Coturnix japonica: one gene and its partners. The protein of the gene in region 4 interacts with the protein of the main gene of each other region in a pairwise test. Links are inferred from orthologs where the notes say so. Each region holds a gene or a part of one and is shown on either strand. Other genes may lie near its edges. The genes, in order: AKIRIN2, CTPS2, TFG, SPG21, ARL6IP1 and ATPAF2.

The links.
Region 1: the proteins of SPG21 (region 4) and AKIRIN2 interact in binary tests that used the Homo sapiens proteins (3 or more experiments, as listed by UniProt). The two-hybrid records come from large-scale screens. The link is inferred for Coturnix japonica from reciprocal best matches to the Homo sapiens genes SPG21 and AKIRIN2.
Region 2: the proteins of SPG21 (region 4) and CTPS2 interact in binary tests that used the Homo sapiens proteins (3 or more experiments, as listed by UniProt). The two-hybrid records come from large-scale screens. The link is inferred for Coturnix japonica from reciprocal best matches to the Homo sapiens genes SPG21 and CTPS2.
Region 3: the proteins of SPG21 (region 4) and TFG interact in binary tests that used the Homo sapiens proteins (3 or more experiments, as listed by UniProt). The two-hybrid records come from large-scale screens. The link is inferred for Coturnix japonica from reciprocal best matches to the Homo sapiens genes SPG21 and TFG.
Region 5: the proteins of SPG21 (region 4) and ARL6IP1 interact in binary tests that used the Homo sapiens proteins (3 or more experiments, as listed by UniProt). The two-hybrid records come from large-scale screens. The link is inferred for Coturnix japonica from reciprocal best matches to the Homo sapiens genes SPG21 and ARL6IP1.
Region 6: the proteins of SPG21 (region 4) and ATPAF2 interact in binary tests that used the Homo sapiens proteins (3 or more experiments, as listed by UniProt). The two-hybrid records come from large-scale screens. The link is inferred for Coturnix japonica from reciprocal best matches to the Homo sapiens genes SPG21 and ATPAF2.

The regions. Positions count from the first base shown.
Region 1 is NC_029518.1:69,571,727-69,576,227, reverse strand, and holds part of AKIRIN2 (akirin-2), read right to left. Parts: intron 3,123-4,501; coding exon 2,979-3,122; intron 2,496-2,978; coding exon 2,346-2,495; intron 1-2,345. UniProt on the Homo sapiens protein: Molecular adapter that acts as a bridge between a variety of multiprotein complexes, and which is involved in embryonic development, immunity, myogenesis and brain development.
Region 2 is NC_029516.1:109,439,886-109,445,123, reverse strand, and holds the start of CTPS2 (CTP synthase 2), read right to left. Parts: upstream 3,517-5,238; 5' UTR 3,426-3,516; intron 1,232-3,425; 5' UTR 1,192-1,231; coding exon 1,026-1,191; intron 1-1,025. Other genes in the region: SYAP1 (synapse-associated protein 1), read left to right, coding at 3,639-3,822. UniProt on the Homo sapiens protein: Catalyzes the ATP-dependent amination of UTP to CTP with either L-glutamine or ammonia as the source of nitrogen. Constitutes the rate-limiting enzyme in the synthesis of cytosine nucleotides.
Region 3 is NC_029516.1:76,135,232-76,139,625, reverse strand, and holds the end of TFG (protein TFG), read right to left. Parts: intron 4,028-4,394; coding exon 3,938-4,027; intron 1,885-3,937; coding exon 1,514-1,884; 3' UTR 1,118-1,513; downstream 1-1,117. UniProt on the Homo sapiens protein: Plays a role in the normal dynamic function of the endoplasmic reticulum (ER) and its associated microtubules. Required for secretory cargo traffic from the endoplasmic reticulum to the Golgi apparatus.
Region 4 is NC_029525.1:16,065,005-16,070,253, forward strand, and holds the start of SPG21 (maspardin), read right to left. Parts: upstream 3,390-5,249; 5' UTR 3,256-3,389; intron 3,035-3,255; exon of another isoform or gene 2,969-3,034; intron 2,431-2,968; 5' UTR 2,404-2,430; coding exon 2,341-2,403; intron 1-2,340. Other genes in the region: CLPX (ATP-dependent Clp protease ATP-binding subunit clpX-like, mitochondrial), read left to right, coding at 3,582-3,651. UniProt on the Homo sapiens protein: May play a role as a negative regulatory factor in CD4-dependent T-cell activation.
Region 5 is NC_029529.1:8,039,047-8,043,130, forward strand, and holds the end of ARL6IP1 (ADP-ribosylation factor-like protein 6-interacting protein 1), read right to left. Parts: intron 3,483-4,084; coding exon 3,363-3,482; intron 2,776-3,362; coding exon 2,658-2,775; intron 2,299-2,657; coding exon 2,214-2,298; intron 1,987-2,213; coding exon 1,868-1,986; 3' UTR 1,017-1,867; downstream 1-1,016. UniProt on the Homo sapiens protein: Positively regulates SLC1A1/EAAC1-mediated glutamate transport by increasing its affinity for glutamate in a PKC activity-dependent manner.
Region 6 is NC_029529.1:5,008,984-5,012,898, forward strand, and holds the end of ATPAF2 (ATP synthase mitochondrial F1 complex assembly factor 2), read right to left. Parts: coding exon 3,847-3,915; intron 2,905-3,846; coding exon 2,824-2,904; intron 2,722-2,823; coding exon 2,609-2,721; intron 2,265-2,608; coding exon 2,149-2,264; intron 1,524-2,148; coding exon 1,386-1,523; 3' UTR 906-1,385; downstream 1-905. UniProt on the Homo sapiens protein: Plays a role in the assembly of the F1 component of the mitochondrial ATP synthase (ATPase).

The DNA of each region.
Region 1 (4,501 bases), on a different chromosome or scaffold from region 4:
AAAGAATGTACTAAAGGCCAGAAAGAAACCTTCCAGCTTTCTTCTTTTAAGGTTTATGTCAACATACACAGCCACTTTGTAGCACCGTCTCTGTTAAAAATCTGGTTTTGGTAATTTTAAGAATCCACACTTAGTGAAAAACCCCTTCTTGTGGCATTCAGCATAAGAAAGTTAAGGAATCCAAAGGTAAAATCATCTACCGTGAACTGATGAGAACCTGTAAAGATACCTGGACCACTGGAATCTCCTACGGCAGGTTTTAGCTATTTCAAGTCAAAAGATGGCTAAGTGCCATGAATACAAGCACCGTTAAAATGAATTCATAACTTGAATTGCAGTAATAGAGCTGTTTTTCACAAGCAGGTTCTAGAACTGCTCTCAAGCTGAAGTTTCACTGAGCCCCTTGCAGTCTTCCCTTCTGGGTTTCAAATCTGCAAAGGCTAAGTTTATGCTGACATCGTGGTTTCAAATAACAACAGGAGGGGAAATCCGGGGCATTACAGCAACCTCAGTTTTCCATTGATCACTCCATCACTCACTCTACGTGAAAGGCAATGCTGCTCACAAAGAACATGGCAGAGGAAAACAAAAAAGGCAGTATCTGGCTAACTACCTCCAAGAAAAGCATGATTCAGGAAAGGAATGAAGAAAATAGATCCAAGTTCCAAACATTCCGTTCAGTCACTTGAAAGAAGCTAATCAATATTTGTTACACAATTTCCAGTTGCATTTCCATTCATTTCACTGGTCTGTAAAAATGAGTCATCACCTCACTGTACAAAGCAAAGAAAGGGATATAGTTGCTCTGCCAGCAGAAAGATGCAAGTGGTCTTCTGTGAAAAGAATTATGCCCAATTCTAACAGTCTATTTCTAAACTCCTGTGTAATACTAAGAATTCACTACTGGCAAAATATATGGGATGCAATAACCAGTTCTTTTAGAGATCACCCTACAGGGAAATAAACCTTATCTCATCTCACTGTACGCTGCCCTCAGGCCCTAGGAGAAGGTACTGTTCCCCTTCCCTGAGGTTCCCTTTCAGAGTGACACAAGAGCACACGGTGCCAGAGGTTCCTGCTGTAAAGAACTGCAAGTTGGACTCAAAGACTGAGACAAATCAATGAGCATATCTGGTCTTCAATTGGTTGTTATCATCACCGCTAACTGAAAAGCGTTTAAGAATGTAAGAAAGGACTCCATTCCTAACATACATAAATTAGAAGGAAAAAAAAAGACTCTTGTTTCAATTAATCAGTCTGAATCGAGTTAAGAAAGAAGAATCTACAAACAAAACATTAGGTCCAAAGAAAACTAAGTATGCAGGGCTGGTTATGTATTAAGAAAACACACACTTCATGGTAGCAGACCAGAAAGCACAGAACGTGAAACAGACTCAGGTGCAGAGACAACGCTGTCACGTGCAACCCAGCAGTCTGACAGGCTTGGTGACCTCCTGCATGGGCAATGCCCACAGGAGCTGGCTCCTGAATCCAGAGATCTGCTAACTTTAATTTGATGCGTTTTCAGGTGGGACACAATGGCAACAGGTATTCAAAAACTAAGCTCACTGCCAAAGCGTGTCCTGAAATGCTCATTATAATCATACTAAGCATTAAACACATCATATTGTGAAGGCATCTACCTCTGAACACACCAAAATTAGATCCTCAGACCTTAGCAAAACACTCAGAAGTAGAGGACACTGACAACTGAAGGAAAGTCCTTTTCACATTGCTGGCATTAACACGATCCTTATCAAAGGTAAGCTGACATGAGGCGCCAAAAACACCAGCTGACTGGTAGGAAATGCAAGGATTCAACACAGAGGAACAGAAACGCAGCTAAATTACTGACAATGAAGCAGCTACCCAACACCGCTGGCAGCAGAGTAATGTAATTACTGGGAAGTGAAAGGGAAGTCTTAGGTACTGTGTCTTCTTGCCAAATTCCAGAAAAAGGAAGTCAGTTTCCAAGCAGGGAAAAAGATCCTTCACAAAGAGCTCTTAAAGAAGTAAAATAGAAAGTCTTTCTGGCAAAAAAAAAATAAATAAAATGAAGAGGAAATGATCAATTCCAACACAGCAGCGAGAGAAAGTTCTATGTGAAATAAAACCTCTGTTTCCATTGATTAGTAATACCCAGGAGTCACAGTTTCTATCCAAGACAGCGCAGAACAGAAAATCCTATCAAAGAGTCTACAGTTTTATCAGCACTGTATGCAATCTCATTCTTAATCAGACCAGCTCAGAAAGAAACTAAACAGCATAATACAAAAAAAGAGAAGTAAAACAAAATAAAAGCTTTTGAATTCATGCTAGCACATTATTTTGAACCATTAATATACCTGCAAGTTTTGTGGTCAAAATTTCTTCATACTCTTCACGGATTTTCTCTTCACGTTCTTTCAGCAAACGTTCACAGATCATTCCAACTTGTCTGAGAGTAAACAGGGGCTGTTCTTTTTTCAATGGTGATGATGCTGCAGATGAAGTACCTAAGACAAAAATACTGGGGTATAACCCATGTCCCACTTACAAGGAGTTCAAAACCCATATTATAATCAGTTCTCCTCACACTTTTTACATTAAAGGAATTTTACATATTATTTGGAGACTAGTTCCTGGGCCATTGAATACTTCAAATTAAAGTGAATCTTAACTGTAAAAGGATACGTATGAAAAAGCCAGGAGCATCACACAGTGAGGCACAAATGGCAGTTGCCACTGACAAGCTTCTATTCTACATTAAAACTACAATGTATTTTTGCAAAGACAGCTGCTTTGTATCAGCCTATTGCAGGATCAGTGGCAGGGAAAGAAGAAAACCTGGTAAGCTTCCAGATTAATGCTATTATTGCTTCCCCCCAAAAGAAACCATAAATGATGAGAAAGTGCAATAATACAGGAAGCAAAAAAGGCAAATTATTTCCTCAGAATCTGAGAACACAGACCAAAATTACACAGAACGCTCCGGCTACCTGGCAAAGCTGGTCCAGTAAGAAATAACGCATGTGGCTGTGCATCAGTAGAACAACAAGGATCTGTCTGCTGGAAGTTATTTTCTAAGTGTCTCCTCTTCTGCATGCGTTTGTACTCCTGTTTTATGTTGTACAGAATTTGTTCTAGGAGAAAAACAGTCAAAGAATTAAACCTCAAGTAATTACATTTCAGCATTTCACTTTATTTCTACTAGAACATCTAATGTAGATGACCAGGAGATGCTAAAAACTAAACTCTTAAGCCTCCAAGAACGGTGCCATTTTACCCAGGACACAAAGCAAATAATGAAACTAACAGAGAAGTGTTAAGTCCAGAGCATTTTCACAAGAGAACACATGAGCAGAATAGATTATTTATTAAGGTCAAGTGCCAGTGCTGGGGTAAAGCTAACAAGAACAAACAGTCTGATTTGGAAATGTAGGAACCAAAAACTGGATGATACACACAGATGAAAATTAAGTCTCCGTGATGTGCCGCTCCTCCTTATTCAGTATCTGACAGACAAGCAACAAAGTAGGGAAGGAAACAATTCTGACCAAATATTCATAAAGCAGCTACTGCTTAAACCCTCCAAGAACTGGAATCCAACAGACAAAAACAAAGGCCTTCGCAACACTTCATGGCCCCAGATGTATCCAAGTAAACCCCGTGGATGGATCAATAACCTCTTTTAAGAGAGTACAGCAATATGTAAGTCAGCATTTGACCTGCACTGGGTAAATACAGCAGGTGCTTCTAATAATCTCATCTCATTATCAACCCTGTGGTGCCTCCTCTCTGAAATATGTGGCAAAAAGCTCTCAGGACCATCAGAGCCCCCCAATGGACACCCCTTGGGAAATAATGCCTTCCCCCCTACTCCTCCAGGAGACCTTCAAACAAAGAGAGCTCCAAAGCCTCCCTTCATACCACAATTCTTGTAAATGCTCAGACCTATTTATAAAACAAACAAAACCGCATTTCCCTAAACAGTCTGCTTCCCCCAGACTAAGCTTCTAGACTTAAGGCAGAGATGGCCTTTCAAGGCTCACATACACATTCATCACTGTGATTGTGTCAGGGTTGCAAAAAGCTCCAACTCAGTTCCTTCCTGTTTCCATTCAATGCAACACCATGAAACCTTCTTCCACCAGTTTTCAGTGCTTGTGAACCCAATGTTCCTGAGGTCCTACATTTGAACATTTCCTAACACGCACCCGTATGAAGCAAGTTAACTTCAGCAATAAGCTGTTTCAGTAAGTGGCCGAAGCCCATGCCAGATCAAGCAGAAGCAAACATTTGTCAATTTCTAGTTCAGAGGTTCAGTGGCGGCTGCTCTCTAATAGCACAAGCCAATCTAGAGGATTCTCATTGATGGGCAAGGAAATCAATTCCAGCCAACAGAAGTATCAGCACCTTCTCCAAGGAGCTTGTTTGGATGTTGCTCCTGGACAAAGAGCACCCTGTAATTTCTACCTTTTCAATCCTACGCCCACAGTGCTTGTGCAGTTCTGTCCGTCAT
Region 2 (5,238 bases), on a different chromosome or scaffold from region 4:
TCCAAAGATGTTGATATAGACTAAAACTAAGCAGGCAAAAGTTGACAACTACAACAAATCAGAAATCCCTCTTGTCTGAAGGTGTTTGGGAACTTTGAAAGCCACTGGTTTCAATAGACATACTAATACCACGCATGACAGGAGAATGTTCAGCATTATAAATGCCTATCAGACTGCTTTGCAGCTCATCAAAGTAATCGATACAAGCCACCCAAACTAAAAGCATCTATTTTTAAGTAATAAGACTAGCCAGCTTTCTAAGCTCCACGGAGGGTTTTTACCTGACCTTCATCAACTAAAACAAAAGCTTAATCTAACTCTCATGATGACATGCTAGAGACGCTGATACCCAGGTAGCAGCATTCACAGCTGATTGTCCAGCAGTACAGCTTCAAATATGTTCTCATAGAATCATAGAATTACCCAGGTTGGAAAAGACCTTGAAGATCAAGTCCAACTGTAGCCTAACCATAGTACCCTATCTCTAACAATCCTCCACTAAATCATATCCCTGAGCACCACATCCAAACAGCTCTTAAACACAACTAGGGATGGTGACTCAACCACCTCCCTGGGGAGCCTATTCCGGTACTTAACTACCCTTTCTGTAAAGAAGTTCTTCCTAATATCCAGCCTAAACTTTCCCTGATGCAACTTGAAGCCATTTCCCCTCATCCTGTCACTTGACACTAGTGAGAAGCTGTACTACTCCAATTTTTTTCATGTTGAACAGAAGACAGCATACACTGAACAAGGCCCACAGCCAGGATTTTCTCAACAAAGCAGAATTTCATAGAAAGTAAGTCTATACACACAGACCTATCTTCCAATAGGCTCCTCTCTTTACTTAGAGCAGACAACACCCTTGAAAACACACAGAAGGGAATAAGTTTGCATTGTCAAATAGATGATAAAATGACTAATAACTACTGTACTACTGTTTTTTGTGTGTTTGCTTGTTTTAAAAACACGTGATTAAATATGTAAATATTTACTACAAAATGGAACAGCGCTGTTCTTCATACCATGTTCATATGGTGAAAACGTTCCAGCATCTATGTTTATGTAAGGATCAATTTTGATTGCAGTGACACGCAGACCACATGACTTCAGTATGGTGCCAATGCTGCTTGCAATGATCCCTTTGCCAATACCCGAGATGACTCCACCAGTTACAAGGATGTACTTCATTGGAAAATCAGATCAAGCACACAGATTTTGCGCTGGAAATCTAAAATGACAAAGATACATTTGATTAATGCAAATTCATCCTGGGGAATAACAGTCTCGCTATGCAAAGAATCAACACTGAAATGACTTTCAGGAACAGACAACAAAATCACCACTTTAGAATCCCTCCCACGTTGTACGTTACTATTTAAGCTTGATGTCTAAATCCTCTCCACAATCAATGAGAAAACTGAGATACTAATTAGATGCACTGCCCTGTGAAGACACCAAAACAGGTATAACTCAACTGACTTCTCTAACATGACAGGAACAGCCAACCACCTTTTAGAACCACAAGTTAGGCAAGACTAATCTCACCCTAGATTCTTCCTGAATTAAAGAAATCAATTGCTTCATTTATGTTTTGAGAAGTTAGCTCTAACACTGTTCCTTGCTACATTAGCCAGAACAATCACATCCTCTCCTTGGCAGATCTACCTTCAAAACCTTCAGCCTATAGCTACCAGTATCTAATAAAACCAGCATTCTGTATCATCCACTACATTATTCTCCTCTCTAGTTCACAACATACAAAGTATTTCACCAAAGGTCCTACAACATCCTATACATCAATGGAATATAACAGCAAGAAAAACTGAACCAAAACATCCACATTTGCATGACAGCATATTAACCGTGAGCCTATTAGTCTTTCTTCACATACCCACTCACTCCCCAACTAATTACAGAGGGAAAAAAAAAACAAAACCCAAGCCTCTCTGGACCATGAGGTAGAAAAGTTGATGCTGTACTAGCAAAAAACAAAGCTAAGCCAGTTTTAAATTGCAGATGTAAAGAAACATTCAAAGTGACGACACACAAAGTCAGAACTGCAACCTTGGATAGCACAGAGCTGTGTCATGTGGCCTCCAATATGGCCAACTTCCCCATGTCACAGCATTGCCACAAAGCAAAAGGCTTGGGGTCAAGAATAACCTTTCCTTACCTACACGTGCAAACTGTTCAAAACAGCATGTAATAGCGTGTGATCTGAAAGAGTTCATGATAAGATGAGTCAGCACAGTGTTCTTTAAACACTGGTAGGATGCAGTAGCAAGAGAATAACTGCTCCTCTGATGTTATTAATTAACATAAATAGGGCCTAGAGCTCCAGCTGTCAGAGGTCAAGAAGGCAACAATGCTTGTTATCAATGCTTTTACAGTGGATAGCAGGAAATTAACAGAGTATTATTTCTCTGCCAGTATGAACAAAGAGGATGCAGCAACCAAAGCATTTAATCCAGGAGAAAAGAACCCTTAGAATTTACAGAGTGAGAGGTCACCATGCAGCAAACACTAACAGAAGTTAAAGAAAACAAGGAGGAAATTTCCTTCCATTCCCCTTCACAACCCGTAAAGATGCTAATAACAGAACTGCAGAGTAGCATAAAGCAAGAAACAAGAAACTGATGAATGAAGAAATGAAATGCATATATCTTCAACACGTGCCATTTCAAGACTCACAGACCCCACCACTCTCCTGACATGAACCCAACCAAGAGCTGCTACTTTCAGAAGCACAGCTTTCCCTATCTCCCTACAGCTCTGGAAACCCACTATTTACTCACAACATAACACATGCCAGGTGGGTTGGGAAACCACACGAGCTGCTGGAAATAGTAGCCAGCTCTTTTTCTCTCCCTAAATACCGAAGCCACCAAGTTCCCTCTTCTCCAGGGCTCCACAAGCTGCCACACGCCCTGCAGACAGCTTGAACTTTCGTGCTTACAGAAACCACCGCTACTCCTAAGTACCACGGTACTACCCACAAGAGATGATGAAAAAAAGGTAATGAAAACCAAAGGGAGGGCAGTGGCAGCAAGCACCTGCCGGGGGCTGGAAAGCAGCTCGAGTAGAGCAGAAAACGGCTCAGTGTTACCCCCACGAGCTCATGGAGCAGCAACAGGCAGCGCACGGCCCTCACAGAATCACAGAATTGTAGGGGTTGGAAGGGACCTCTAGAGATCATCGAGTCCAACCCCCCTGCCAAAGCAGGCTCCCTACACCACATCCCTATACACACTGCCTGTCCTACAGTGGGACAGGCAGGGCCCGGCGGTGCTCCCGCTCCCATAGGGCGGCCATAGTGGCCGAGGCGACTGGCGGGGCCACTTTCACCCCCGTACCATAACCCGCTTCGCACAGTCTCGAGGGAAGAAAGGGCCCCTCCTCCGGAGCAGGCAGCGGGGCGTTACCTTCCACGCGGGAAGGGGAGCAGGCAGGCGGACACGGACCCACGCGAGCACCGCACGCTGCCCACCCCACAGCCCCGCCCTCAGGCAGAACCCCGCCCCTGCAGCCGGACGTGGCGTATGCGGAAGGAGCGAGGGGTCTGTTAGTCCGTGTGGAGAGTGGGGCCGGTCGTTGGAGCGCCCGTTAAACGCTGCCTGCGCGGCCGCCCCCGCGCCATGTTGCGCGGTCTGGGCAGCTGGTTGGGGCTGGAGCGGGCGGGAGAGGAGAAGTTGCTGGTGGCCGAGGAGGGGAGCAGCCCCGCGGAGGAGCTGGATGCGGAGCCGGCAGCGCAGAGCCAGGAGCGGGCGGAGCCGCAGGAGGATACGGATGCGCTACTCAACCAGGCCAAGGGATTCGGCAGTGAGTGTCCTGTTGTGTTCTGTCCTGCCCCGTCCTGCCTGGGACGTGCTCCAGGAGCTCAGCGATGTGTCTGCTTAGAAATAGTAGTGATGTAGCCTTAAAGACAGCGAATCTCCCGTGTTATAGTGAGAATAAGGCAGACTAACTACCCGTGGTATAGTGAGAGTAAGGCAGACTAGCAACAGGAGTGAAGGCAGATCAGTTCAGTGCATGGTTACTGGTAAATCCCCTGGTGCTACTCATTGGCACTGAGCTTTAACTGAACTGAACAACTGCATGTAGGTTTTAGGTTAAATGGTTATTCTCATCCCCACGCGCTTAAAGAGCTGCCTTCTCTGTAGGTAATTATAACCCCAGTGTAGCTTATGTTTACTTTGCATCACTAAGCAAGGTGGCCACAATACTTGAAAAAACAAGTGAATAGCAAAACAAGCCCCCAAGCAGATGTAATATTCCTAGATGTAAATGATACTTTGGGTCAGGTTAACTAAGATAGGAAACTATCTCAGTTACTTTCCTAAGTCACACTTGTTGATGACTGTATAACAGCCGTTGTGTAACGTTTGTTGTGTATTTGAGATAGTAACCAAGCAAATGGCTTCAGGTGTTCCTTTAGGTTATCATGTCTCACTAAGTGAACAGCGTTTCTTTACATATTGGCGCTATGAGTAAAGCAATGCATACATACAAATCACATGCTTTTTAAAGTGGTGTGGGCGTTTCTTTAATTCCTTATAGGTATGCAGTGTCTGTTTGATTATTATATTGAAGTCATTTGTAGAGAGGTAGGGCTGTAGGTAGGAATTGTGCATTACTAGTGTAGATTCTTAGGTAAAATTAATACAAAGTGTAGCTCTGTACTAAAGGTGTTCCCTGAAATTCTGGCTCGGTGTCTTCTGAGACGTCAGTCTGAGGTGTTTCTTTAATATACGTATTTTGAGCTTTCTGAAATGCAGCAAATTGACTGTAGTGATTGGTCAGGTGTCTGTTTGTTCTTGTAAGTAGGTCCTAATCTACTCTGGTTGTCCAGAAGGGTACTTGGAATTTTCAGGAGGAAGAATATAGGATGTTAGTGACAAAAACATTTATCCTGTAATTTGCTATGGTAGTAAGAATTTGGTATGGTGAGGTGTGGATCCATTGCCTGTGACATCAAAGGAGGTCAGGATGAAAAGGATCATAGAATGGTTTGGGTTGGAAGAGACCTTTAAGAAAACATAGTTCCTACCCCCTGCTATGGGCAGGGACATCTCCCTCTAAACCAGGTTGCTCAAAGCCCCATCCAGCCTGGCCTTGAATGCTTCCAGGGAAGGGGGATTAGAAAGGTTCCAGGCATTGGAATGCACTGCCCAGGGAGGTGGTGGAGTCACTGACCATGGGAGTGTTCAAGAAACGTTTGGATGTTGTGTTGAGGAA
Region 3 (4,394 bases), on a different chromosome or scaffold from region 4:
CAGTGACATTCCACAGCTTCCTGCTTGATGTATGGGTGCCTGATTAGGAGAGCAGTGACACTTAGGGATGTGGAAAGTAGGGATTTTTTCAGCTCCTGCTTTAATTCCTGCTCTATGCTGATGAGAGTTCAAGCAGCGTGCTGCTCCGTTTCATGACTTAATTCCCTCCTCTCAGTTTTATGTATTCCTAGAATCCATAAGACGGAAAATATTAACTGAAAGAGCATGTATTGCCCTTTGCTGTTTATATGGTTTATTGAATGCTTTTACAGATCTCAATCTGCTTTTTCTTGGCTCAGCATTGAGTCACTGGGATCACGCTCCCAGATTTTTCAGGGTGGCAAAGGACCTGTGTTATGTTGCTCCTCCTTAACAGTTCTTTATTAAAATACAGATTTGGCTTCATCTTTTAAGTAATGAACCCATTCTCCCCCTCCCCTTGTTCAAGCGTTTAATTCAAAGATGCTACATATTAGCTATAGCTATATTTAGGAGAAGTAACCTGACAATTAACAACAGCAGACAGTGCAAAACCACCTGTTGCTGTTTGGTGGCTCCAAGAGCTTTACACTGAGTTTGAAAGGGTAGGGAGAGATAACAAGGAGTGGGGAAGCACAGCCGAGTTAGAGGGATGAGGTGCTAGTGGGGGCCCTAACCCTTCTGCACACTTGAAACCTTATGAGCAGCCTTTCATTATCTAAAAGAGGGGCTTGTAAGAAAGGAGACATTCTTTATCATAGTCTGCTGTAATAGAACAAGAGGAAATGGTTTCAAATTAAAGGAAGGAAGATTTGGAATGGATATAAGGAAGACTTTTTTTTTTTAACAATAAGGATAGTGAGGCTCTGGCATAGGTTGCCTAGAGCTGCAGTGGACGTCCTGTCCCTGGAGATTTCAAAACAAAGCTGAACAGGGTTCCGCACAACCTGACCCAGCTGTAGGTATCCCTGTTCATTGCATGGGAGTTGGACCAGATGACCTTGAAATGTCCCTTCCAACTCAAATGAGGTTGTGATTCTATGTCTTGGGAACAGTTCTCCATTTAAACACATAGCTTTTTGCTTATGTAGTTTTCTTGTTCCATACTACCTACACTTTAAATTAAAGACCAGGCACATAATGGATTCAGGGCTTTTTTATTAGCTTTCCATGTGAGCATTACAATTTATAATACATCATATCTAGTTTTTACTTCCAAATTAATCTAATTTAGTAAATCATGTATGTTATTAGTGGGCTAAACTTCCAGCTAGCATTTTAATATCCTTCAAACGAGGCAAGCTAGGATGTCAATCGATCACTTGACAGACACATAGGTAGTGATCCCAAACCACCCCAGCCCCAAATTAAACTAGGAAGCGGATACAATTCAAAGCATGAACAGCTCAGTCGCTCCTTCCCTCCCCCCACAGAACTAATGAACACTTACGGTGACTCTTCTGCCTCGGGACAGCTCCGGATCTTGGTAGGGATGGCTGTCAGGCTGCAGCAGCCAGCACCGGGCACTCAACCCTTACCGGTATCCAGGCCCGGGCTGCGCGTAGCCCTGGGGCCCAAAAGGTGGCCGAGTGCGGGCATACGGGTTGGGCCCACTGGGTGGTGGCGTCATGGTGCTGCCGGGTGGTGGGGTGAAGCCAGGCCGTGGCTGGAATGTGCCGGGTGCTGCCTGGGCACCGGGTGGGCCGCTGTAGGGGGCTGGCTGCGAGGCCTGCGTGGTGTAGGGCTGCGGGGGGAAGCTGCCCGCCGGGTACTGCTGTGGCTGCTGCGCTGGCAGCTGCTGGGCCTGGCCCTGCCCTGGGAAAGCGGCTGCTGGGGCCGGTTGCTGGCTGTAGGCTGGGAACTGCTGCGCCGGCTGCGAGGCGGCCTGCTGTGGGCTGTAGCCGGCTGTGGGAGAAGAGATGTGGGGTAAGGCATGGCATGGCACCAAGTCGCACACAGAGTGACAGCGGTGACAGCAGAAGTAGAGCGGTAAGCACAGACAAGCAAACATAAGGAACTGCGAGTTTTCCTGCTGTCACATGTAAGCACGCAGCCTGGTATTCCCACAGCCAAGAAGAAATTTAAGACAGACAAACAGCATTTTACCATCACAACACATTAAAAGTAAGAAAAAAAAAATCTTCCTCCACAAACAAGGCAAAAAAGTAGCCTTTTCCCCCCAAAAAAATCAAGATCAAACTGTCATGGAAACACTGTTAGTGCTCAGTACTCTTAAGTCATTGTGCGAGTTAAATCGTAGATATTTTCAGTTCTTTAAAAGCAGAGTTAAGTAAGTTCAACAGAAATTGTGCAGAGCAGCATACTTGAGTACAAAACTCCCATTGAAACACGCCCCAACTTGGTGGTTCTACATAAAACCAGCTTCCAAAAGGATTTTTTCTTGTTGAATACTTTAAAATAGCGTTAATTCCCTTTATGAAGAAATAAATAGCTACTTTTATCCAGCACGAAACACACCTGCAGCTACTTGCAATGAAACCTCTCCATTGACTGGAATCCTGTCAGCATTAAACACCAGACACACAAGTTATTAAAAGTGCACAGCCCTGAATAGAGAGTAAGGATCGAAGAATGCACTGAAGTATATTTTGAACTCACCTTAAAACTGGGATCAAAATTTATGAGACAAACCTTAGTAGGCTGCATGTTCACTACCATGAGGAAATCTTCTTGTCTAGCAGAGCTACTGGGCAGAGTGGGGATGGATCACACTCTGGGGGATAGGGGTTCTGGAGGTAATCCTCGTGGGCACAACAGCAACAAGCAGATGAATAACTACTTCCAAGTAAAGCTCTTCAATGGCAGCTGTCAAAAGGCCCTCACAGTGAGACTGCTTGTGACAGATCTGATTACTCAGGAAATGGGTTTGGGGAAACACAAGGAGCTCCAGATCATTTCTGGTGATAACAGTGTCTTCTTGGAGACATTCTAAGAATTGGGGATGCAGAACTCATGTTGCGCTACAGATACTGCAGGAACTTCCGCAGTAAAAAAAACAGTTTAAGGCCATGGTGGAAAATGATTAGTACATAGATGGAAACTCCTTTTTTTCCTGCATTAGTTCCTTAAATCTACACAGAAAGACAGACAGACCGTTCTACTTCTTTAAGCCTAACTTCAGCAGAAGGAACTGGACTGGTGGCAGTCTGTCACAGATATCTACCTATACAGAGCACAGGAACAAGGGATAAGGCACAAACCCTCTATGTTCCAAGTGTTCTGCAATTCTTACCCAAGCCACACAACTATTCTCATCTATATCAAATCTGATGCACTTCCACTGTATACATTGTGGGGGGAAAGAAAGCAGTGGTACAGGCTGTTTTCTGAGGCACTTACCAGTATGGACGTCTTTGTTTGTTTTAAACGATCTAAACTGCAACATGACAAATGCTTTCTATCTTCCTCTAAAAACAATAAGCAATTGGAGATATACATCCATCCTTGTACTGTAACATAGCCTGCTTCTGCTGAAGTAAATAACTGGAAATTCTGAACTCGAGTTTATTTTGGAGACACACAAAACCCAGAGTTTCGTATTTGCAGACACACCACTAATGCACTAACATGGTCTCCTGTGAAAAGCAGTAGCTCCTTTAGTTGAAGCACCAGTAACTTTGCTAGAATGCCGTGATGCAGACCTCAACCCTGAAGACTGCTCATGCTTTATTTTACCTACTGTTTTTTTTTTTACCAGTGCATTCTTCTGACAGATGGGTAGAAACGAGATACCAGAAGTCCAACTTTAGTAGCAACAAACACTGAAAGCATCTGCTAACTGGTCATTTTTGAATTGTGCCCATTTCCCTCAGAAGCGCAGGTGTTTGAGATGCTCAGCACCCTGAGCTGCCCCACGCATTCAGGATCCACAGCTCAGAGGGCTGGGCACCAATGGAGACATCCCCTAGCTACACCACAGTTTGCAGGAGCCGCTTACCTGGGTACTGCACGCCATACTGCTGCTGGGGCTGTGCCTGTGGCTGCTGGGCAGGGTAACCTGGCTGCTGGTACTGCTGGTACATCTGGCCTGGGGACAGAGAAATCAGTTGGCTGGGAGACAATACCTGACCTATATCAAAAAGATCAGACGCACAACATCCTAGTGGTTTGAGTTGCAGAAATAACACGTACAAGTTACAAGATTTTAGTCTCTGAACCATGCCATTCTGAAGACAGATCACACAGTCCTAATCTGACGGAGGGCCCACTATTCCAGTGGATGCCAAGAGCCATATACCTTACCTAGCACTACACTGGTGTGTAACAGAGCAGAAATCTTTACATGGCTTGCTAACTTCTCCAGAACTTACTGTAAATCAAAGTACTTCAGAAGTTAAATATGTCCTCAGATCGTCTGTTTATAATAGCTTTTAAGACTATTTCTGTACAAAGTA
Region 4 (5,249 bases):
AGCACTGCACAGCTGACCTGGAAAGAAATAAGCACATGTCAGGAGAGCCTGGAGTCCCTACGACACAGCTGGATGAAGCAGATTATCCACCACAAGCTGCTCACAGAGGGCACGTAACATGCCAGAAGCAAGAAGTCACAGCAGAAATAGTATATTCAGAAGTATAGGAATTAGGTAACGATTGTCTGCTCCAGCCTTGCTGAAGCCTGGCTCGCTTTTACAGGGCCTGACCTACCAACAAGCTGTTGTGTGTATTTAGCATGCTGGTTTCAACCCTCATCACCCCAGCAAAAAGCATGCAGCTCATTCCAGATCAACAGTCACAAATCTAAGGAAAGCTGCATCGCACAGCAGGAGTTCATCCACGTGTCAAGATTCTGTAATTTTTTGAATAGCAGCATAGAAGCATAATTCACTTTCCCATCACAGCAATTAAGCTGCTCAGGGAGTTAGAGAACAGTGTATCATTTTTGCTTGATTAACAAATCTGCTTGTAATAAAGCCGGTATTTCAAGCTCTGGGAACATGTGAGGAATCACATGATACTGCTGTTTTGTGAGATCTCCAAGAGAAACAAAGAAAGACAGATTACATAGCAGGGCTTCCCAGACCACTGAAGCCACTAAGAAAACACATACACACAAAAACCCCCCCAGCACCCTGCACAAAAGCCCTCCTAAAGCCTCCCAAAAATCAACCCTTCACATCATCTCCAGAAATTACAGCTCTCAGCTGTTATTCTACAGTAACTTTGGAGACATTCAAGGTAGCTGTCAATGGCTACAGCAGAATCTTAAGGAGTACTTCCAGATGAGGAGCAACACCTGACTTATGAAGGGAACTGAGGCTCAGAGGTAAAGTTTCTTTCCTCAAACTCAATGAATCAGGGGGTTTGAACTGTTCTATTTGATTTCCAGCCACATCCCAGATACTACTACAGCTCAAACCCAATGCTAAGTGCTGTGGGATGGTTAACTGCTGGCTTGGGAGGGCATTAGCTTTTTTCAGGTCCACTGCTGAAGAGCATTTACAGTCAAAAGTCAAAACAGTTAATAGTTACAGTCAAAAGGGCAAAATCTGTACATCACTGAAACAAGAGGCAGAACTTCCCTTGGCTTTAGCAGAACCAGAGTGTCCTCTGCTGATGGTTTTAAAGAAGGACTGATCTAAAACAGCAAGTGGTGTATATTGAGGAGGAGATCCCTATACAGTGGTACAGCGTCTGGTCTGAATCAGCCTTAATTTGTACTCCCTTCTTCCTTCATTTTAGGCCCTAAGAAGCTGCAGTACCCACACCAACAGTACAGCAGCCATGACAAGGACCAGAGTGGCTGCAGTTCCCAGTGGAGAACCAGAATGTTTATCTGAGCTGAAATATCACATCAGGGCCACTCACATTGTGGCACTTGTTGACTTTAGGGGCCACAAATCCAAATGCAGGTTCAGAGGAAGAGCTTAAGACTTTGCCTAAAAATATTATGTTCTGCACTGTACTTCCTGTTTCTGACAAGGGCAGGAAAGGCAACGGAGCTGTGTATTTCCTGCTGCTTTTGAGAGGAGCATCTTAACATGTTTTCAAACAGTGCTGGCTCTGCTTCTTTAGGGTAACAGGCACTGATCAGGAGTAACAGTGATTGGCCATTCCTTCCTCCACAGTGCACAAGTTTTGCTTAAGCCTTTGGGAAGATAATGTAATCATAAGTACGTCCCACACCCGCCAGAAACAAGGACTATTTTACTTCTATCTTCTTCATACCCCATATTCATCGCTGTAGCATCACTTTACTTTGGAGATGGCTGGATCACTCAAGGGGGAAAGGCATTCCCTAGTCTGAAGGTCACCAGAAACCCTGTTAACAACAGCTTTGGCTTACACACGTGTTCTTATTTCTGAAATCCTGATCAGTCAGCAGTAGCTGAAGGCAGAACCATGTCATGAGGTTGATGTCTTAGAGAAAGCCAGGCACACTTAAGCATTGTTCCTTAGGTTTGGGGACACAGTTCCTTTACAGTGGCCCAAATGGAACCAACTTGTTGAAAGAAGTAGTGCTGTTCTTCCCTCTTCTGCCAGCACCATCCTGCAGCCCAAAGAGCTGCCCACATTAAAGAACAAAACCAGCTGGAAGGCAGCAACTGCGAGCATGCTGCTTGCCCAGAAGCATGTGAAAAGTAAAAGTAAGAGTGTGCTTTCATGCACTCCTAAGACATGTAGGGAAACAGTTTGTCTGGATGAACACAGCCACAACTGTTCTGCATTATCCAGAGCCAAACTGCTTGAATTCCTGTGCCATAGAGTACAAGGAGAGATGTAGCATGCAAGCTGAGGACTGCGGTACATACCTTTTTAAGAGGAACTGTGCTTCTGAACCAGTTGTAGTCAGGAGAGACTTTAATCTCTCCCATGATGGTTAGGAAAAAACTCGGGTCAGACTGAAACAAAGAAAAACAATGTTTGAAATCAAGAACACGGGGTTTCCCTTACGCAGCAGGCAAGAGCTGTGCCATGCACACAAAGCACCTGCAGGGAGCTGCTCACAGCAGCACTGCATCTGACCTGCACCATTTCCTCATCTTTTCATCACAAACCACACAACTGTGCTCCCACGAGGCAGTCACCCAACTGCCTTCATGCACTGCTCCAATTAGGAAATGACGATGCTCTTGTAACGGCACAGTCCCGGTAACAGACAACTGTTGCAGGCTAGAAGGGCCTTATAGAGCTAACAGCACTTTGTCAGAGTCTGGCAGCACATCAAACTGCAGTGAAGGTAAGAACAGCTTTTCCAGCAGCCTGCAGAGCTGCACAGACACAAAGACAACAACTTCCAATGAACTAAAGCACTCACTGCAAACAGCCCCTACACTCGCACTGCCATCACCTCCCCTCCTTCAGCCTTAAGCTGATCTGTGTGCTGTCAGCGGGCAGGATAAAGGAGCACGCAGGACACAGGTGAGCTCTGCCCTTTACCTTGGCCAGCACCCAAGTGATCCAGAGTCCAGCACCGGGGTTTCCAAGGACCTGTCACTGCTTATGGAAGGGAACCACAGGCCCAGTGCTGCTCAGTGTGTGCCCTGCCTGCAGGCCCCGCGTCCACTCCGCAACGAGGCCTGTTCCCCACCACGAGACCCCCGCCCACAGGGCCACCCTCACAACACCCACCCCTCGGCCTCAGCCCCGGCCGCCCCCAGCCCACCGGAGCCTCATAGACCCCGCAGCCCCGCTCAGTAACACTCAATAGCGGCGCCCCCACACACCTGGGCGCAGCGCTGGCGGCTCGGCCCTGCCCGGTCAGCGGGGCGCGGTGCCGCCTGCGCCGCTCTCCTCCACCACCAGCCGCTACTTCCGGGTACTACCCCGCGCCGACCACGTGACAGCAGGACGGGCCGCCATCGCTACCGAGGCGGAAGTAGAGACCCCCCCCCCGCGCGGTGCCTGCTGGGAGCGGTAGTCCGATGTGGGGGGAGTGGGGGAGGTGTGCGCGGTGACGTCACTAGGCGGCGCCGTGTGGGGGAGGGGCTGTTTTCACTCCGCCGCCGCCCAAGGCCTCGTCAGGGGGAGCGGGCCGGGCCGCGGCCGCGCCATGTCCGCCTGCCACAGCTGCGCCGCGGCCGCGCGTCTCTTGGGCTCCACGCTGCCCTCTGCGAGGAGAGGTAACGACCCCAAATATCCCAAATACCCCAAATACCCCAAACACCCCGATCCCTCGCTCCCCTCAGCCCCCCCCCCGCCGTGGCTCCTTCGTGTTGCCCCGCCGGGCCGGGCCCTGTCAGCTCCGCAGGTGCTCGGTGCTGAGGGAGCCCTGAGCCCCGCACGGTGTTTCCATCTTGGGCCGCAGTTTGAGGCTGTGGGGCTGTGCTTGGCGTCATTCCGTGCTTGGTTGGCACAGAGCGCGTCCAGCTCACGAGCAGCGCGAGGCCCCTTGGCAGCTCTCCGAGGGACTTCAGCCTTCCTTTGCTCCTGTTGCTGTGTGTCCTGTGCGCTTTGTCAGCTCACAATGCATTGCTGTGGGCAGCCCTCCCTGCTTTTCAATGGGTTTTGGGGCTCATAGGGCAGAGGGGCCGTTCGTGGTTCCCCGGGGCTGAGCTCAGCGCTGCACCCCCCTTTGTGTGGGCCATCAGCCCTCTGAAGGCTGAACGTGGCCTTCCGACCCACCCAGAACCAGGGCAACAAGGATTCTGAAAGCTGTATTTAACTCACAACTGCTGCTTTTCTCTGTGCCTTTCTAAGGAACAAACACAACTTGGGGTTTTTTTTTCCCCCTCAGATCTAAGAATTCTGATGGATTTCTTGTGTACAAGAACAAATAAGAGCAGAATATGTTTGTGGGGTAATATTGCACATCAGCTTACTTGGAACTTATCAAAGTCTTCGCTTGGCACACGGTGGTGGTTGGGGCAGATCACTTTGTGGGGCATCACTGCTGGGTGTGGTGGAGGTTGGTATTAACTCGAGGTTGTTGGGCAGCTCTGGTGGCCTCGTCTCCTGTCAGTCTCCCTGTGACACCTTTGAGTTAAAGACTCTTACAGGATACTTGAGGTTTGGCCCTAAAAGTTGGCGTTTTGTTCCTCACCTCTCAATTAACGCTTAATAAGTTGCAAAGGAGCCTTCTGTTATGTCACAGCCTGCTAAACTTAGGCAGGTTATGGAGAGGTGCTATTGCAGCTGCCACAGCCCTTATGTTTGATACGTGTTCTGATAAGTACAAAGAGTGCCCAAACCTGACTGCTGCTGTGCTGCTACATGTTTGCACCCTTATATTGCCTCCATCCTCCAGCAGGAGATGCCAACACTGGGCTGGAATTGCTATTGAAAAGTTGCCTCTGGGTTTACTTATGCAGGACAGTTGTGTTAACTTTCTTCTTCAGTCTTTATTTTTACATTGAAGTTCTTTCCATAAGAGATAATAGAGCTAAAAGTCACTCAGAGCTCTGGTTTGGCTGAACATGACAAGTTTTGTCCCAGGGCCTGAAGCTGACGTGTGGTGTGGTCAGTTTAATGTTGTACCCTACCAGCTTTTATAAGAGGGAGAAGTGATGAGCAGCACAGACACTGCTGCGGGGTGGACGGCTGCCTGGATGCATTGCCTGCAGCCCAGCAGACTCTGGGTGCAGTCACACAGCTGTGGTGGTGCTGATCGATAGGGCAGGAGCACGGTGCTTATCAGCTCAGGCACTTCTCATGTCGTTTCATAGCCCATAGTGTGGACTTTCAGGGTATTTTCTGTGTCATTCAATTAAAATTGGCCACC
Region 5 (4,084 bases), on a different chromosome or scaffold from region 4:
ATGATACACACACATCCATCACATCTGTACTCACAGGTACCTCTGAGGCCTATTTTAGAGCCTAGGACCTAAGAAGGACAAAAAGTTGCACTAAGCCTCAGCAAGTCACAACACACGCTCAGATTTGTTTGACAGAATTCAGCACTTTGCAAATCACACACATCAGCACTTCTGCTTGGGTTTGATGAACTCACACACACTCAGCTTTAAAAAGCAGCATGTAATCAGCAACATGCCAACCCCAATAAGCAAAACCCCAACGCTGGGGGTTGGAACTACACGATCCTTGAGGTCCCTTCCAACCTGGGTCATTCTGTGATTCCGTGCCACCTTTCCTTGGCGAATAGTTTAGATCTTATAAATTCAGCATTGGCCCCATCCAAAAAGCATGTCACACATAGTATTAAACGTGCTACAAAGCTTCCCTGCCTTCAAGAATAACAGTAGTAATAATACGAGCTGGCCCGGCCCGTCCCTCAGCCCCCTCCCTCCATCCGTGTCTCTGTGCTGCCAGGCGGGCTGCTCCCCCCCACCCGCCCCTTCGGAGGCTCTATAGAGCGCTAGAGACGACGCCGAGCGCTCAAAGTGGGTCGGACCGCTCGGACGCGGTCTCGGGCCCCCGGTGATGGGAGAGGAGGCGGCGGAGGAGCGAGGATGGGGCGGGGGAGCGGCGGATGGCGGCCGGGCCGAGTCGGCGGCGCTACTCACCGGTGCGGCAAGATGGCGGAAAAGGAAGAGGCCGGGCGCCCGCGGGGGATTATGGGAAGGCCATGAGCGCGGAGCGGCGAGCGCGCCGCACGGGGAGATCTCGCGAGACTCCGCATCCTATACGGAAGGCAACGCGCGCCGAGCTCCGCCATCCCCATTGGTGAGAACAGAGTGACGCACTTCCGGCGCGACGCTTCCACGCGCGTTCCCATAGCAACGAGGACGCTTCCCGGGGCCAACGGGAACCGCGAGAATCAACCGACGGCGGAACCGCGACCCGGCACCAGCCACACACAGCACAACCAGAATGACAATAGTGTCTGATCATCTATATTTTCCTATTGGACTGTTACAATAACACCGAGACTCCATCTTCAAACAATACAATTGTAAAATGCGTGAACACAGGTTGGAGCTTTACAAAGAAACAAAGTTATTTTGTAAAAATAAGGAGGGAGATAGAAGAGCACAGCACGAATCCAGCACTATGGATAAGCACAGCCCAGCACAACAGCCATAAAGCAAAGGGCTCCGTGACAGAGCAATGAGCTGTGGGTGGGGGTCACACATAAACCCACCCCACAGCCTCAGTGCAACACTTTGTCCTACAGCTACAACAACTAGAAGCTGATGGACCCAGAGCCCAGCACGGCAGGTACAGCCACAGAAACAAAGGGATTCAGGGACACAACAGGACCAACCTCCTGCACCAGCTCTGATTCAGCTCAGCCACCAGCGCTCAGTCAGTTCATGGGCTCCTTTCCACAGGACTCAGTAGTAACAAGGCTTTGAGAAGTGCAAGCATTCAGAACGCCTTCATCATACCTGCTGTAACCACAAACCACTAACAGGTACAGAACCACCGTGATCAGCTGCAGTAAGTTCTTACCATAGGGTACTTATGAGGCCTCTTAAATTGGTGAAGAAATTTAAGCTCCACACGTCAAAGATCTTTTGCATTAAATCAAACACAGAACCTCAATCTGCACAGCAAGAGACAAACCCATAGCAAGTGCTCGAGGGGCATTTTCCATTCGTTGGAGCCATTAAAAAAAAGTTAAGCCAGTGAGCGATACAACTTCTATTATCTTAATTATACATAAATTCACAAAACTGTTCCCAAGAAAACCTTTTACAAGAGCAAACAGCAGTTCAGTCTTCACTCATTTTTCTTCTCCTTGTGCTTGAGCAGTTTGTTTATTTCCCTTTTTGCCATTCCAACGTACTTTGTAATGATCCCATGCTGGTTCAGCCCAGGAAACAGCAACAAGAAACTCACTGGAGAAATAAACACAAAAATCAATTCTTTATTAACTCTTCAACAATCTTTGTCACCTTGCAGTTCTTTGCCTCCCTTAAGCTCCACCAACCGTCTGAACACACAACTAAATGTCCCATGTTAAACAAAACATCCCCACACAAATAATCCCATCTCACTCCCACCAGCCTCGTACCATTTTAGGCAGCTGACAAAGCTGGATCTGTTTGGCATGCTACACACTTACCAATAAGATACGTCAGAAAGAGGTTGTGAACTTGCTGTCCAATCCAGGCAACCACAGCAAGAGAACAAAGCATGGTCATGAAGTACTGAGAAAAGAAAAGGGAACAGTTACCACTGATCTGAAGGAAACTCTCATCCTTCCCTTCAGTATGCAATGACATTTCAAAGTCCAAAACTAGACTGCAGCCCACTGGCCCCTCCACATGCAATATCAATGCACAGGCTTGTTAGAATTTACACTGCAGAGATTACACCTGTACGTTCTCAACTATTTATGCAGCATTCAATTTATTACAGTTCAGCAGCTCATCTCCATTGAAATAGCCCTCACAGTATGCTACCCCCATGTCCATACAACCTGTGCTTCATGCAGCGCCTGAAGCTTTGATTGGACAAAGCAAAGGGACATTTTACAATGATACAAAGAACCCCTGGACCTCAATACCATTTTAGGCTTCTCTTCCTTCAGTGAGAAAAGACGTTTCCACCATCCAACAATTCGGCGACGAGATTTGACCAAATTGCTGCAAATCTCATGAAATCTTTGCTGCTGTTCTGTAGTCCTTTTAATAAAGAGAAGACAGGAATAACAATTAATGTTCTCATCTGAAACTATACTATATATGTATATATACTATATATACACACATCTGAAACTATACTATATATGTATATATACTATATATACACACACTATTTTCCAGCAGGAAAAATGTACCTATCTTGACATTTGCCTCACTCAGTTTTGTACATTCTTTTTACTGAGCACTATAATACAACCACCTATGTAACTTTTAAGTAAGCTGAGTCTCTCCAATGGACTCTAAAACTGCAACTCCTATTTAAGCCAGAGAAGCACTGACTTTCACCTTTATCTGCTGAGTGCAATTAATTGGGTTCTTCTGCTGGCACGCTCCTACTCCTTCAAAATAAAACCTGACTTTGCTAGAAGAGAAGGAACAATAAAGATTATGCTGTAGTAGTTTTATTTCAGAAAAATAATTCAGAAGTGTCCTCACTTCATAAACTACAGAGACTGACAATGACAGTGACTATGCAAGAATCATTTAACACTTGCAATTCAGACATTCGCTTGGATAGAAACCAATTCCTTTACACTCAGGCTATTTTAATTCAAGGCTTTCCTCACCATTTGTTAGAGCCAAAGATTCTGGGAGCAAGAGCAGGAACGAGATAATCAGCCAAACAGATGAACATAACAAAGCAGGAGACGCCTGACAGAACGGATGGATCCAAGTAGTAGATCATCCTGTAAAAACAACACGGAGATGGTTTCTGGATGCTCAGACTGCTAAATACTTGCAGTACTTAGTCACGTATCCAGTTGGTACAGGACTTCAAACAGAACCACCCTCTTTGCCTAACTTCTTTTGGCTTCAAATTTGCTCCTCTTGCCTATAAAAATAATTTTAATTGATTTAATTTAATTTAATATTCAAGCTTAAATACTTCAATATTATTACAAGGAAATGAGACGATATCAAAATACAACTTTCTAAACATACTAGAAAATACTATAATACAACAAGCATATCATAAAGTTCATTACTGCTCATCCAGAAGTTGAGGTCTAGTGAATGTAGCACTGAGCATGGGAAGACTGAGGGAACATGTAAAAGAACTAAGAAGGGTGAGAGCTCATCCTGTTGGTTCTGCAGTAAATCACAGCACCCCCAGGCTGCCCCCATTTACCGCCTCACCTGTGACATCCAACCAAACCTGTTCCACACAAGGAGTCATAACCCTCCAAGTAGGACAGTGCTGTGAACTTCTACATTACATTTACAGCTGTATGGTTACTGGACAAGAACCTGCTTATCTCATAGGTCTGCTAACATTCACTGAGACCTA
Region 6 (3,915 bases), on a different chromosome or scaffold from region 4:
CACCACATTGGCACAAAGCCCGTTCCGAGCTCAGACCTGGTCACAAGGGGTTATGGCTCAGCTGTGAGCTAATTGAACCAAATCATCATAGCACATCATGCCTGAAAGCTTTAGTACCTGCAAGCACAGTGGCAGGAACCTGTGAGCCACAGGCACACAGCAGCAGCTGGGGAGAGGAGCACTCTCCATCAAACCACTCCCAGAATAACAGCAGGTTTCCAGCCCAGCAAGCACAAGGCTGTGGCTGGGGCTCTGTGTGCCTAGCAGCCTTGTCTTGTCGCTGCCTCTTGCAAAAGCAGCTTTCTGCAGCGTGAGCAGAGCAGCCCCCAGCTAGCAGGAAGGGAAATCAATGGTTCCACAGGAACTCACACACTGCCGCTCGCAACAGCCAAGCGAGGAGTCATTAATTCCCCTCCTTGCTCAGTGACAGCAGCTGCTGCACTCACTTGTGGGCAGCTTCTGAGGAATGATGCTGGCCAGGGCGGTACTGCTAGAGGCAAGCAGCAAGGAGAAAGGTGGGAAGGTTAAATGAAAGGGTGGCTGCATATGCACTCTGGGGAGAGACCTGGTCTCGTGAAAGCCCTTCAGCTGGTGCTGCCTGATGTACAGATTTAGCTCCAAGTGCCTTATGCTTTTGGAAATGGCTGTGGGAGGTTTCCCCCTCCCTGCTTGTTCCAACACTGCACAGTCAGCTCCCTGCTGCTCCTTGGCTGCTGGGACAGGACACCTCGTACAGAGAGACTCACACAGACACACAGAGAGAGCTAATCTATCTGCCTTCTAGTGTCTGCTCAGCTCTGCTCCACGACTTTCTGCCTTCAGCCATTCCCACACCTGCGTAGAGCCGAGCAGCTCAGGATCTACACCATGGTTTGACAATTAAAACAAAGAAATACTCAGCAGCATTAGCTTTCAGTATCTTGAAGAGGCGTGCCTTTAATCAAACAGAGAGACCCTGGTGTTACATACAGGCACACTGAGGGATGAAGAACAGATGCAACGGAGTCTGTTTTCAGATTTCCATAACAAGTGTGTGTCAGGAGCTGGCAGCTATGAAGACATGTGGCATATGCTAGGTGTGTCTGTGCCGTGCCCTGCCCAGGAAGCTGTTTCTTTCAAGGGAGCTCCTCTGATGAATTACAGACACTGGTAATGGACAGCGCTGCTTCCTTGAATATGCAGAGGGAGCTCACCTTGACCTTTCCTCCTCGTGGGCTCAAAACTGCTGGCGCTGCACTGCAGCAAGGAGCTGCCCACAAAGCTGCAGTTCCTCAGCACAAGCCTGATCCCAGACAAGCTGTGGTGGCAGGATGGTTGTTACCCTCTCCAGGTCACGGCAGCAATTCACAGCAGGGCATCTTCCTCCTCCACCCAGTCCTGCAGCCTTAGTCCTGCAACAGCTTGTGTTTGACAGTTGAGCTCTCTGAGCAGAGATGAACAAAGAGAGTCCCAGCTGCTGCACGAGCACGCAGCTCACACAGATCATAGTCATGGGCCCACTCCACATTGCCCCACCGCTGAATCTGGAGGAGGAACACAAGTCAGTTCAGAAGTGGATTACACTCAGAGCTGCTAGGCAACTCAGCCTCCTTTCTCATGTCTGTGAAACACAGGCAGCCCTCCAGGAGCTGTGCTGACTGCACACTACTAGGGTAGGGAGATCTCTGGATGAATACGGTGGAAGGACATGATTCCTCTGTACTGAGCTCTGAGGCAAAAACCCCTTAAAGGGAGGATGAAAATACTCTCATCAGTTTCAGCCATTTTAGGTCAGGGAGAGCTTCACACCAGGCCAGATTTCAGCTTTTGCTCTCAGAGGAAACAATTTAATAATAGTTTGGTGTCCAGCAAGGCCTCCAGCCTGGAAAACCCACAGCAAGAGAAGCCATCCATGGCTTTGCACTTCAGATTAGAGAGGGAGAAAAGCAGCCACCTGGGTTCTGCAAAACAAAACTGGCAGCCCCAAGAGCACCCTGGGCTGTTGCATCTATCATGTTGCTCTACAGCAGCGTGCTCCGGACTGGTGGAGTGGAACCTCTCCTGTAATAGCAGGCACTTCCCCTGCCAGTTATTTGTGGTGGGGGGTGCATTTGTCATGCTGAGATTATTGCTATTTGAATTATGGGGTTGCTCTGTAACATAATTTACCTGGTATTCTTCCTCCAGCCGAGACAGAAGCACGGCTTTCTCTACTGTAATGTGCCTGTCAATCAGGCCCATGGACAGAATCAGAGATTTCAGCTGGGTGATTACATATTCTATACCTGGAAGGGAAAAATCCAAAACAAACAATATTCATGGTCGTTTTCCACAGCATTACAGCAGCATCCTCCCATGCTTGGAAAGGACAATCAGGCTGTGGTCCCCCCTCAGGCAGATCACAGTGATGCCTCCCCACTCCCATCTGGGCTCCTAACAGCCAGACATGCAATTAACGGCACAATAGTGCTCTCCTGACCACCATCACTGCAATGACCTCAATGCTCTGATCATCTCAGCATATCAGCAGGGGGGGAAAAACGTTACAGTCTCTCCCCTCTCCCATGGAGAGGAGCTCTCCTGCCCTTGTGCAGCCCACACAGAGGGCTCCTGCAGCCCAGCCTCTCACCTTGCAGAGCCCACATGTTGTAGGAGGCCAGGTGGCTGATGAAGGTGTCCCTGGTGCTGGCTGGGATGTTTGGTCCCATGATGCTGGTAGAGGATCCGATTGCCACGTTGTACCTGACATGATCACATGGCCCCTTAGAAAAGCTTGTGGATCTTGCAGCTCTGAGTCACGAGCACTACAGCTATGGGCCTTTAGAAACAGCTTTAAACTCTCACCTTTTCTCAGCCCAGGCAACAATAGGATCCCATTCTTTCTTCTGCAGCTCTGCCAAGGCAACTGGCTCCTCCACACGATAGCTGGGACATTGCACAACAAAGCCATGTGGGTGTTCACACACAAGCTGTCAGACTGCTCCCAGCCAGACTGCAGCACTCCTGAGAAGAAAGTCTGTGCCCTCCGTAGACCACAGTATGGGGAGCATAGACCTCTTGTTCACCCTACCTGCAACAGCTGGGACTGGGAATAATCTCTCCATTCAAAGCTTTTTATTGTTCTAGAAAGGACAGTTCTATGCAGCTATATAACAGGGCTACAATCTACAACAGAAGACTGCAGATTACCTGAAACCAGCCAAGGGATGCAGCAAGATTTAGTGATCCATGGGACAAATCCCACAGGGCCCTTCCTGCTGCCTTGCACGCCCAGTGGCTCAGCTTAGCACTCACCAGCCACCGCCCTGCCCAGCCCAACACAAACAAAGCCACAAAAAGTGAGGTGAATCTGGTTTCCCTCTCCCTTCAGGAGCAAAGCAGCTGCCAGTGGACACCTCAGAGGCTGAGATTGTGAGACGTGAGCTTGGGTAGGCTGGATCCTGCAACCCACAGGAGCTTTAAGGAGCAAAGGGCATTTTACTACTAGTACAGGTAATCTAAGCTTACTACACCTTTATGCTACTGGAGTGCCAGGGGACTGAGCTGACATTCTCCCAAGCCTTTCTTTGCTTTTCCCACTACATTTCTTGCTGCTCCTGCTCCCTGTCCAACATGGACATCTCCAAACAGATTTCAACAAAGAAACAGGTCCCTGTTCTTTGTATCTATGCCCTTTAAATGCATGGAGTTCCACTAGGTTGGTGGACATAGGACTCGTCTAAACTAATTCAAACCCCTGGGCCAAAGCCAGGACAGAGCAGAGCCCTGCAATGACTTGGTTAGAACAGACATTTTCCCTCAGTTCTCTCAACCACTCTACAACAAGACAACCCCACCTCTGTGCCAGTGCATCCCGCAGTCCCTTACCAGACAGTGTCAGTCTCCAGGAACTTCACAGCTGCACGGATCAGCTGCACCTTGTTTCGCTGAGTGGGA